3 linked regions of the Mus musculus genome follow. The protein of the gene in region 2 interacts with the protein of the main gene of each other region in a pairwise test. Links are inferred from orthologs where the notes say so. Each region holds a gene or a part of one and is shown on either strand. Other genes may lie near its edges. The genes, in order: Fam117b, Banp and Fhl5.

Region 1 (3,653 bases), on a different chromosome or scaffold from region 2:
ACTATTGTGGATGCTAAGAAGTGCTTGCTGACAGGAGCCTGTTATAGCTGTCTCCTGAGAGGCTCTGCCTGAGCCAGACAAATACAGAGATAGATACTCAGATGTTCGCAGCCAAGCAACCATTCGACTGAGCATGGGGTCACCAATGGAGGAGAAAAAACTGAAGGAGCTGAAGGGGCTTGCAACCCCATAAGAAGAATAACAATATCAACCAACCAGACACCCCCCCCCCCAGAGGTCCCAGGGACTAATACACCAACTAAAGAGTATATACATGGAGTGACCCATGGGTCCAGCCATCTATGTAGTGGAGGATGGCCTAATTGGGCATCAATGGGAGGGGAGGCCCTTGGTCCTTTGAAGGCTTGATGCTCCAGTGTAGGGGGAATGCTAGGGCGGAGAGTCGGGATTGGGTGGGTGGGGGAGCACCCTCATAGAAGCAGGGGGAGGGAGGTGATGGGGGGGCGGGGGGAACCAGGAAAGAAGATAACATTTGAAATGTAAATACATAAAATATCCAATTAAAAAAATAAAGACAGTGCTATCAAATTAGAGTGGATGTAAGCACATGAAAAAAAAAAAAACCATACCACTGTTAGGGTGTTGTTTGCCCAGACTCTTGCGCGCGCTCAACTGGCCAGGAAGAACGATGCTGCAACAGGATCCTTCTGCACACGTTTATTGGGAGAGCTTGATTGTAGAGGCGAAAAGACTCTGAGCCCAGAACTGGTGCTGCTTTTATAGGCCTAGGAGAGGCGTGTCTTACACCCGGATTGGTTATGCACTATGCCTCATTTGCATGTTCCTCATCTGATTGGCTACTCTCTCTCTCAGTACCTCACAGAGCCTCATTATCATACCTCATTTGCATGTCTCACATCTGATTGGTTACTCTCTCAGTACCTCACAGAGCCTCATTATCATACCTCATTTGCATGTCTCACATCTGATTGGTTATACTCTCAGTACCTTACAGAACCTCATTATCATGCCCGGGCCAGGCAGTGTCTTTGCAAAAAACTTTACTGCATATGTACACATTGGTTGTTTGTCCAAACTTATGCGTGGTGGCCAGCAGTAGTCAGTGCCACTCTGCAACGGCACATGTGGCTTCCCACACCAGACCTCTCTCAGTCAGGAACTGTATTTTCTAAGGGTCTTTATTAGTTGTCTTCTTAGAGTCAGACTTAAGAGTATGCATAGCTAGTTGCTAAGGCTGAAGCCTAAAGGTTCTGAACTAACAGTATTTGCTTTATTTATTTATTTATTTATTTATTTAGTTTTTTTGAGACAGGGTTTCTCTGTGTAGCCCTGGCTGTCCTGGCACTCACTCTGTAGACCAGGCTGGCCTCGAACTCAGAAATCCGCCTGCCTCTGCCTCCTAAGTGCTGGGATTAAAGGCGTGCGCCACCATGCCCGGCCAGTTTATTTTAAATATACTACATATGAAATGATAGTATTTAGCCCTTTGGAATCAACTGTGAGTTGTGTTATCAATACCTGTTCTTCTATTTTTGTGGTCAGTGTTTTAGATTGGGTCTGGGCTTTGTTTATTGCCTTGTTCTTACTTGTTTGTTTTTGCATATTTAAGTTGAAGAACTTCTATAAAGCTTAAAATTTTTTTACATGAACACTTTTGCTTTATACCTAGGTGACAAAACACACCCGCCTTCCTCAAGCTCCTCCAGCATTATCCGACGCACATCTTCCCTGGATACCCTCGCAGCTCCATACCTTGCTGGGCACTGGCCCCGAGACATTCGTGGGCAAGCCGCACCCTGCATGAGGGACAAGGCCACACAGGTAGGTTTCTCTTACTTGTTCTTCTCTGAAGCATTGAGTGCACACCAGAATTTCCTCCGAAGCTTTTGAGAAGTACAGGTTTCCAGGCCTACCTTCCAGATATTTGTCTGGATTTGTTTGGCCTGGGAGCATGAATTTCTAAAAGTTCTCAAAAGTAACTCCCATAGAAATATATAATTGCGAACATACTTCCCCTTATTTATTCCTTAGAAGTTAGATTACATTCTCACAATATTTTCATGTCTGGAATTTAGACTCAAAAATTTGTAGTAGAGGATTATTCTGCATACCATTTATTTTTGTGCCCCCAAAACCTTTATATTTTGGGAGAGCTATATTACATTGTTGATTTTGTGTGTGTGTGTGTGCTCACATATCTGCATGCTTATACTGTAGAGTGCTTGAGTGCATATAGAAATTAGAGCACAACTTTGTGAAGTCAATTCTCACTTTCCAACTTTACATGAATTCTAGGGATTAAACATAGGTCAGCAGTGCGCTATCATACACTACTAAGCCCATTTACTGGCTCCATTGCTAATAGATTCCATAAATGTAAACATCTCAACAAATGGTAGTCTGAAAGTGAAGTTTCATACTTTTACATCTATCAAATTGACTAATTAAGAGGATGCTAGAATGTTAACATATAATAATTTATAAATTTATAGTTAAAGAGTTGAAGTCCAGCTAGAGGTGGTGACATGTGCTTTTAATCTTAGCACTTGGGAGGCAGAGGCAGGGAGAGCTCTGAGGCCAGCCTGGTCTACAGAGTGAGCTCTAGGAAAGCCAGGGCTACACAGAGAAACCCTGTCTTGGGAAAACAAACAAACAAACATTGAAGTCCAATATTGTACAAGCAGTTCATGATTGCATGCTAGTTTGGAGTTTCTTTTTATAGTATTACCACATTGTAATTAATTAGACATTTGTACAATCATTTACCCATTGTTTTTCATACTTACTAGACAGTGAATCCCAGTAAGGTGAAGCTGTGTCTGGCTCACTGTTGCTGTTTTCTCAGGAACAGCAACCGTATACCTGAGTAGTAAGTGCTTGAGGAGATTTTGAGGAGCATTTGCAAAGCCGTGGATCAGCAGCACAGTATTGCACTCTTGGTAATGGAGAATGAAAGGCTGCAAAGACTTCTAGTACTGTTTGCAGTTAAGTTTTTGCATTGAAAAATTGTAATTACAAACTAAATTCGACATAGAGGACTTACTCCAAGAAATGTCATCTTATTGGTTAGGATAGAATAGACAGACAGGCCTGAAAACATAAAGCCTGGCCTGGGCACTTCAGGAGGGCCACCTGGTACCCCTGCAAGATGGCTGTGCCTGTGTTTAAAGTACCTCATTGGACCTGAAGATGCTGGAGCATCCAAACAGACCATGGCTTTTGTAAATAGGCAATGCTGAAGCCCATTGTGATAACCACATCCAAAAGGCTTTTCCATCTAGGGAGCCAGGCCTGGGTATGTTATAGGAAGATTCTGGTGTCCCCATGACTCTGGAAACGTTGTTGAACTGATGAATAAAATAAGAGTAAACCTCTGAAGAACTGGGTGATGGGAGTTGTGAGCCCAACCCTGTCTACAGTCTCCTGTGGGTTCTCTAATTTTAGTTTTTGGTTTTGGTTTTTGTTTTCTTTTTATCTTAATGGAAGCCATGTATTTTTTTTTAAACAATTTTTTTATTAGATATTTTCTTCATTTACAATTCAAATGCTATCCTGAAAGTCCCTTATACCCTCCCCTCGCCCTGCTCCCCAACCCACCCACTCCCGCTTCCTGGCCTGGCATTCCCCTGTATTGGGGGGTATATAATCTTTGCAAGACCCAGGGCCTCTCC
Region 2 (3,653 bases):
GAGCAGTTTCCAACTAGCAAGCTGGAAGTCAGCAGCAGGCCATGTGCTCGGTAAGCTCAACAGGATGGCTTTGCTCTCCCAAGGGCCAGTCCTGTCACAAGCTACCATGTACATGGCGCACACAGGAACTCTACTGTGAAGAGAGGCCTCCCAGGCAACATTCTGGGTGCCAGGAAATCATTCAACTGTGTATGGCCAGCAGCCGCTGAAGAAAACACAATGAGGATTCGGCTGGAAGAGAAATGCAGCCTCAGGCACCTCAGGAAGAAGGTGCTAGCCTATGAGAACAAAGGGTCAGGCCAGCGCTGGACCTCAGAGCACAGGCAGGCAGAACAGCGTGTCCCTCTGCACCCAGTCCAAGTTAATGGGAGCCATCTCTGCTCTAACTTGAAAGGGAATCACGGAGCAGAATCACAATCATAACAGCCACAGAAGCAGATACCACACCAACAACAACCGGGTGTGGCAAAGCACGAATGCATGGGTCAGAGCATTCTGAGTAGCCAGGCACGGCCCTGAAGAACCCTGAGCTTGCTCTATTTCTCTGCTATGCACAGCAGTCAGGAGCAGCCATGGGAAAGTGCTGCATACCCAAAGCCCTCACATCTGCCCCAACTCAGCACATCCTCTGCCAGAGCCAGCACCACTTAGAGAAGATTCCTTTTCTTCAGTGCTACGGGCCTTACTCCTCCATTTCCTGTCATTAACCAGCACCCTGAACCCTGGCTTAAAGGCCTCTTTTCACAGAAAGACACTAGTAAGAAGAAGGTTAAGGAGAAGACCTGACGCTCCCCGCTAACCATGCTCTCTAGGGGCAAGGCTGTGCCTGCGAGGGAACAAGCAGCAGCGCTCAGCTCATCCCCAGTGTCCACTCGGCTATCAACGGAGCAGCGTCGGCAGTGCAGGCAGACACCATGACAACTACATGGTGGCCAACTGAGAGAGGAAAATCCCTGTTACAGACTAACTAACATCTCAAGCAAACCCATAGAGGAGAAGAGAGACAGCATTCTTCCTGACACTGCTCCACGGGTCAGGTGCCCACAAACAGCCCTGACCTGTCTGGTGAGAATTACTTTGGCAATTTGGTACGTGAATGTCTTCCAATCCCGTGACAGCACTCGGCTGCATGCGACAGCACACATGCAGTGTCTCCAGCAGACCCCAGGCAGCTGCTTTCCTCCATGGTCTGTTTCTCTGTGTGCTCTATGCTACAGTTAAGGTCACGGGTTACTTTGAGATCTGATACTGTCAAGGTGGATTTCACTCAATATTTTTTGAGATAGCTTCTTTCTATGTAGCCCTGGCTGTTCCAGAACTCAATATGTACACCAGGCTGGCCACAAACTCAGAGATCTGCCTGCCTCTGCCTCTCAAGTGCCAGGGTTAAAGGTGCGTGGTGCCCCTTCTGGCCTGAGTAGATTCTGAATTCCCAGCTTCAGCTGGCACTACCTTCTTGTCACCAGAGTGAGCTGAGTGTCTTAAGAAGTCACAGTTGACACAGAGAAGCCTATGACAAGGACTGGTGTCATCTGAGTCACTCTTATAAACTTCTCTCCTGTAATAATATTCACCTCGTGTTCTGCAGACACTGGATCCCAAATAAGCAAGTCCGGAAGCAATGCACCGACTGCCTAAGGAGCCTCCAACCCCAGCCAGCCTTGGGGGTGGGCCCCAGTGACCTCAGGACTTGGGGGTGGGCCCAAGTGACCTCAGCTCTCCTCCCACCTGAGGCAGGCTTACTCAGGCACAGGAAGACTCTTCGCTTGTCCTCTCCCAAATCCAGTGTTTCCTCCTGTCTTTTGCCGGAAGGACCTGGCCTGTATTTTCTGCAGCATTTCAGTGGCATCTCAATACTACAGGGCCAGGCCCTTCCTGTGGCCTCATCTGGAAAAAAGCTCTTTGCACATGTATTTAAATAAATGACCCATCTGGGCCTGAGTGAGGGTAGGCCTCAGGCATGGACTCGAGTAATAAGGCTGGGACCAATAGGTCACAGCAGAGGAGGCAGGGAGAGCCTCCTTAGAATCCCAGAAGGTGTGGCCCTGCCACTGCAGAGCTGCAAGAGGGTTGGTTCTGCTATTCTAAGCCCAGGTTGATGGTAGAAAGTTACACAGTGCCCACAGGAGCCACACGGTACCTTTATAGAGGGGTCCTGGCAATTGATCTCTAGTCGCTGGCGCTTCAAGGCAGGTTCATCATCATCTGTCACGACATGATTCTCCAAAACAACTGAAAAGCAACCACAGAGACAGAAGCTGGAGTGAGCATGCTGAGTTCCTTGGGGCTCTGTGCCTCTACAGCCGAACACAGTGCCGGTACCTTGAGGCTGATGAAAATGGCACAGCCATTTCTTTGTTAAAATCCTCAGCCAGGCAGAAATCAGGCCCTCCCTCATCCATCCCCACCAAAATCAGACCACCCGATCGATACTCCCCAGAGCCTGGTGGGCAAAGCACACTGAGGCGCCGTCATCGGTGACTGCTTCCCCACTGTGTTTAGTGTGTCTGCGGCTACGTCACTGTAAAATCCAAAGCACCCTCACCTGGCCTGGCCTGAGGTCCTGGCCCACTCCCTGCATGGGGCTGAGAGCACGTACATACTGACAGCCACAACCCTCTCTGCATGTCATATGCCCCAATCTAGCACAGCCAACACGCTGACTTACACGGAAGCTGAACTGCTCACGAGCCGCCCACAAACAGTTCCTGCTGACCTTTAAGGCCTGCTTTCAGATAAGCAAGGTAACCCTAACGCCAACCTCTGCAGTACCATCCCAACGTATTAAAGTGATGATCACCAAGCCTAAGAGCAGTTACACCTTATCCCTGCCACACTGCACCTCTATAGCGACCTGCACGGACTAGTCCTGTTCTCACACAGGAGCACTCATTTCCCTAAAGCTTACTTTTATTTATATATATATGTGTGTGTGTGTGTGTGTGTGTGTGTGTGTGTGTGTGTGTGTGTGTGAGTAAATGTATGCAATTCGTGTGGGATGCCCTCAAAAGCCAGAAGGAGTTATAGGTGGTTGGAAGCTGTCCAATGTGGGAAGAAGCCCAGGTCCTCTGGAAGAGAAGAAGTACTCCTAACCACTGAGCCACTGCTCTGGCCTGATACAGCCACCTTCCCAGAATTCTGTGCTCAGCATTTGTACTGACTTTTATGCCATGAATAGTTTCATGTCACTAGTTCAGTTTTTCTCACTGAATGCCTGTGCATTTCTCCAGCCTCTGTGTGCTCACTCACAATAGAAAAGACGAGACTGCTACCTACAGCTCTGTGTCTGCCTTGCCTCCTCCTTTGGCAACACACAGCAGCCATCTAGAGCAATGGCCAGAACTCTTTTAAATAAGTATGTGTGGATGTGTGTGTGTGTGTGTGTGTGTGTGTGTGTACACAAGCACACATGCAGGCAGCCCTGCAATCATCCTATGATTTAAATTTTCACACAGGGCTGGCATCTCTGCTGTGTCTGCTTTACTGGGGAATGAAGTCCGGCAGAGTGGCTTTGATACTGAAAAGACAGGGAGAGCAACAGTGCATCGACTGTCTCACGGCTGTACCTGGGTGATCAGGGCTCAGGTCTTCCACTGCAATCTGAACCACATCCGCCAGGTCCTGCTCTGACATCATCCAGAGCACGAGGAAGG
Region 3 (3,653 bases), on a different chromosome or scaffold from region 2:
CTCAGGATTAATATGCAAGACCCTTACTGAGAATTTAATACATTTAGAAATTAAAAAATGCAGTTAAAATAGAAATGCAGTAATTTTATGCAAGTTTGAATTAAAAAAAAGGAATTGTTATTTCTATGAAATCCCACTTTCAGAACTCATGATGATAGCTATGTAATGCCAGTTATAACCACGCTGTCCACAGGTCCCAGGATTGTGTTGATGTGGGGCATCTCCTGTCTACCACGTTCTCACTGATTCCTACATTGGCACATGGTGAATAAAAGATTTGTCTCACGATTTGGATGGTTTTTGTTTTAAGAAAAAGAAGGCCAGGTGGTGGTGGCACAGACTGGGTGGTGGTGGCACACATCTTTAATCCCAGCACGTGGGGGAAAAGCAGGTGGATCTCCATGAGTTCAAGGATAGCATGATCTGCAGCAAGAGAGAGCTTAAGGACAGCCAAGTCTATAAAGAGAAACCCTGTCTCAGACATAGGTAGAGGGGGAAAGAGATCATTCAAAAGAACTCCCAAGATGGGTAGCCTTTTCTAAATCACCATGACTACAAGCAGCTCCCTAAATTTGTGAAATTTTGCCTAGTAACGTATAAACTCAAATGCTTGACTCACATTTTATAAAGGATTTATTTTATTTGTAATGACACTATGTAATGTACAAAGTCTTTTTTTTTTTAATCCATAGGATAAAACTGAAATGACAAGTAGTCAATTTGATTGTCAATACTGCACTTCATCCCTGATTGGGAAGAAATATGTACTCAAGGATGATAATCTATACTGCATCTCCTGCTACGATCGTATCTTTTCTAACTATTGTGAGCAGTGTAAAGAACCAATTGAATCAGATTCTAAGGTAGGAGTCACTTCTGTTCACACAGTTACTGCTCATATATAGTAGGTCATTGCTTCAGGATGCTCCTTTTCTCTGTTGACTTTTACCCACGTTTTCTACAGTGTAAGGCTGTGAAACACAAGTTTTAACCTCATCCTATTCTTAAGACAACTTGTGTGTGTGGCAGGGTGTGGTGTGTGTGTGTGCTGGTGTGTGGTGTGTGTGTGTCTGTGTGTCTGAGTAGTAGTTTTAGGATGAGTAAAAACAAAAAAATGTAAGAAATTAAACTGTTTCCCCAGAATTTTACAACTAAAATGTTGTTACTTCTGGAATAGCTAAGGTATATAAAATACATTTAAAAATTTGGAAGTATAGGGAATAGAAATGCCTTCTTAAAAGTCTGCCTTGTTCCCTTAGCCCTGCAGGCTGCACCTTCTCACCTCACACTCTCTCCTCCTTTACGAATATTATTTGCTTTCTCTTCTTCCTTGCCTTTGCTTTAGCTAAGTGTTGTCATTTGTTTGAAGTCTCAATAGATAATAAGATACCACAACTAAAAAAATAAAATAAAATAAAATAAAATAAAATAAAATAAAATAATTCCATGTAAAACCTTTCTGGTAGGCTATAAAAGAAAGATAGATAAAATTGATAAAATCCAGCGAGATTATTTTTCAATGGCCACTCAAACAAGCCTGAGTTTTTTGCTCTAATTACTCCAGTCTCCTTTTTACAGATAACAGTTTCAGCAACTCTCCCTGAAACTAGTGGCACTAGGTTCCCAAGAATGTCCCATCTTGTCTTAGAAAACAGCTTGTTTTATTGCAAGCACATTTAATTAACTTCATTTCCTGTCTGAAAGGATCTTTGCTACAAAAACCGTCACTGGCATGAAGGATGCTTCAGGTGCAACAAATGCCATCACTCTTTGGTGGAAAAGCCTTTCGTTGCCAAGGATGATCGCCTGCTGTGCACAGACTGCTATTCCAACGAGTGTTCCTCCAAGTGCTTCCACTGCAAGAGAACCATCATGCCAGGTGAGATCCGGGTGGCTCTGCCTAAGGAAACTGCATCTCTAGTCACAATACTAGCATCACTGGCTCACAACACTGCTCTAAGAAAAGAAGTGCTGTTCTTGCTTTCTTCCTCTGATTTTCCATTCATCCATTCTTCCTGAACACATAAATGATGGTGCTCTGCAATTTTGTGATATTTTTGCAGTGACCAATGTCTTCTTTTTCATAAAACCTAATTCATAGAGACTTGTTGAGCCAGAGACAGAACTGAAGGATAAAGCTTATACCAGAAGAGCAACTGAAAACGCCCTGCCTTGGGCATAATCAGTGGTGTTAAAAGGATCAGTCTTCATAAGAATTTGGCCATAATCCTCACTCTGTCATTCATTCATTTATTCACTTATTTTATTTGTGTATTCTTTTCTTTTGGGAGTGTCAGAGGACTTCTTTTTTTATTATTAGATATTTACTTTATTTACATTTCAAATGCTGTCCCTTTTCCTGGTTTCCCCTCTGAAAGCCCCCATCCCCCTCCCCCTCCTCCTGCTCACTACCCAACCCACACCCACTTCCTATCCCTGACATTCTTCTACACTGGGGCATCAAGCCTTCACAGGACCAAGGGCCTCTCCTCTCATTGATGACTGACTAGACCTAGGCCATCCTCTGCTGCATATGTAGCTAGAGCCATGAGTCCTACCATGTATACTCTTTAGTTGGTGATTTAGTCCCTGGGAGCTCTGGGGGTACTGGTTAGTTCATATTGTTGTTCCTCCTATGGGGCTGCTAACCTGTTCAGCTCCTTGGGCCCTTTCTCTAGCTCCTTCATTGGGGACCCTGTAGGCTAGGAGGATCCACCTCTGTATTTGTCAGGCACTGGTGGAACCTCTGCGTTGACAGCTATAATAGGCTTCTGTCAGCAAGCACTTGTTGGCGTCCACAAAAGTGTCTGGGTTTAGTGATTGTATATGGGATGGATCCCCAGGAGGGGCAGTTTCTGGATGGTCATTCCTTCAGTCTCTGCTCCATACTTTGTCTATGTAACTAGAGGACAACTTTTGTGAGTGAGTTCTCTTTTTTCCCCATACAGGATCCAGGGATCAACCTTAAGTCAGCAGGCATAGCATCAAGTTCCTTTACCAGTTTGGCCTTTTCAGTGGACCAATAGGCATCATTTTATAGCTCTATACAAACTAGTTTGAGAGGAATTGCTTTCTTTCAGGGAAAATGGTCCCATGTAAATAACATCACTTAAAAGTTTAATTAAAATACAATATTATTTTCCTTCTTTATCTTCTCCCTCCTACCCCTCATAAGTTAGTCCCCCTCTCAGATTTCCAGCCTCTTCTTTAACCTTTGTTGCTACATAGACATGTAAGCAAATAAACATATAAACACAACCTAATGAGTCCTTTTAGTGGTTCCTGGAGGTGTTTATTCTAGTACTGACCATTTAGTATTAGGTATGGGGGACTTTTGGTATAGCATTGGAAATGTAAATGAGCTAAATACCTAATAAAAAATGGAAAAGAAAAAAAAAAGAAAACTAATCTGGGCTCATCGCTGGGAAATACTAATAGTTTTTCTCTCAGCATCCCTTACTCCTAGCTATTCACCTAGGTATGAGGCCTGATGAAATCCCCCCCACCCCATGTTAGAGCATTAACTGTTTTGGGAATCGTTCAGGTCTAGTTTAGGCATCCATGTTTAGATTTCATGGATGCAGCTCCCTTCTCATACCTAAAAGCAATGATTTGATGGCAAATTTCCTGTTTCTCTGGCTCTTAAAATCTTT

What was found.
Region 1: the proteins of Banp (region 2) and Fam117b interact in binary tests that used the Homo sapiens proteins (3 or more experiments, as listed by UniProt). The two-hybrid records come from large-scale screens. The link is inferred for Mus musculus from reciprocal best matches to the Homo sapiens genes BANP and FAM117B.
Region 3: the proteins of Banp (region 2) and Fhl5 interact in binary tests that used the Homo sapiens proteins (3 or more experiments, as listed by UniProt). The two-hybrid records come from large-scale screens. The link is inferred for Mus musculus from reciprocal best matches to the Homo sapiens genes BANP and FHL5.

What each region holds. Positions count from the first base shown.
Region 1 is NC_000067.6:59,947,402-59,951,054, forward strand, and holds part of Fam117b (protein FAM117B), read left to right. Parts: intron 1-1,651; coding exon 1,652-1,803; intron 1,804-3,653.
Region 2 is NC_000074.6:121,974,479-121,978,131, reverse strand, and holds part of Banp (protein BANP), read right to left. Parts: 5' UTR 3,637-3,653; coding exon 3,567-3,636; intron 2,233-3,566; coding exon 2,141-2,232; intron 109-2,140; exon of another isoform or gene 46-108; intron 1-45. UniProt on the Homo sapiens protein: Controls V(D)J recombination during T-cell development by repressing T-cell receptor (TCR) beta enhancer function. Binds to scaffold/matrix attachment region beta (S/MARbeta), an ATC-rich DNA sequence located upstream of the TCR beta enhancer.
Region 3 is NC_000070.6:25,211,827-25,215,479, reverse strand, and holds part of Fhl5 (four and a half LIM domains protein 5), read left to right. Parts: intron 1-692; 5' UTR 693-704; coding exon 705-863; intron 864-1,704; coding exon 1,705-1,879; intron 1,880-3,653. UniProt on the Homo sapiens protein: May be involved in the regulation of spermatogenesis. Stimulates CREM transcriptional activity in a phosphorylation-independent manner.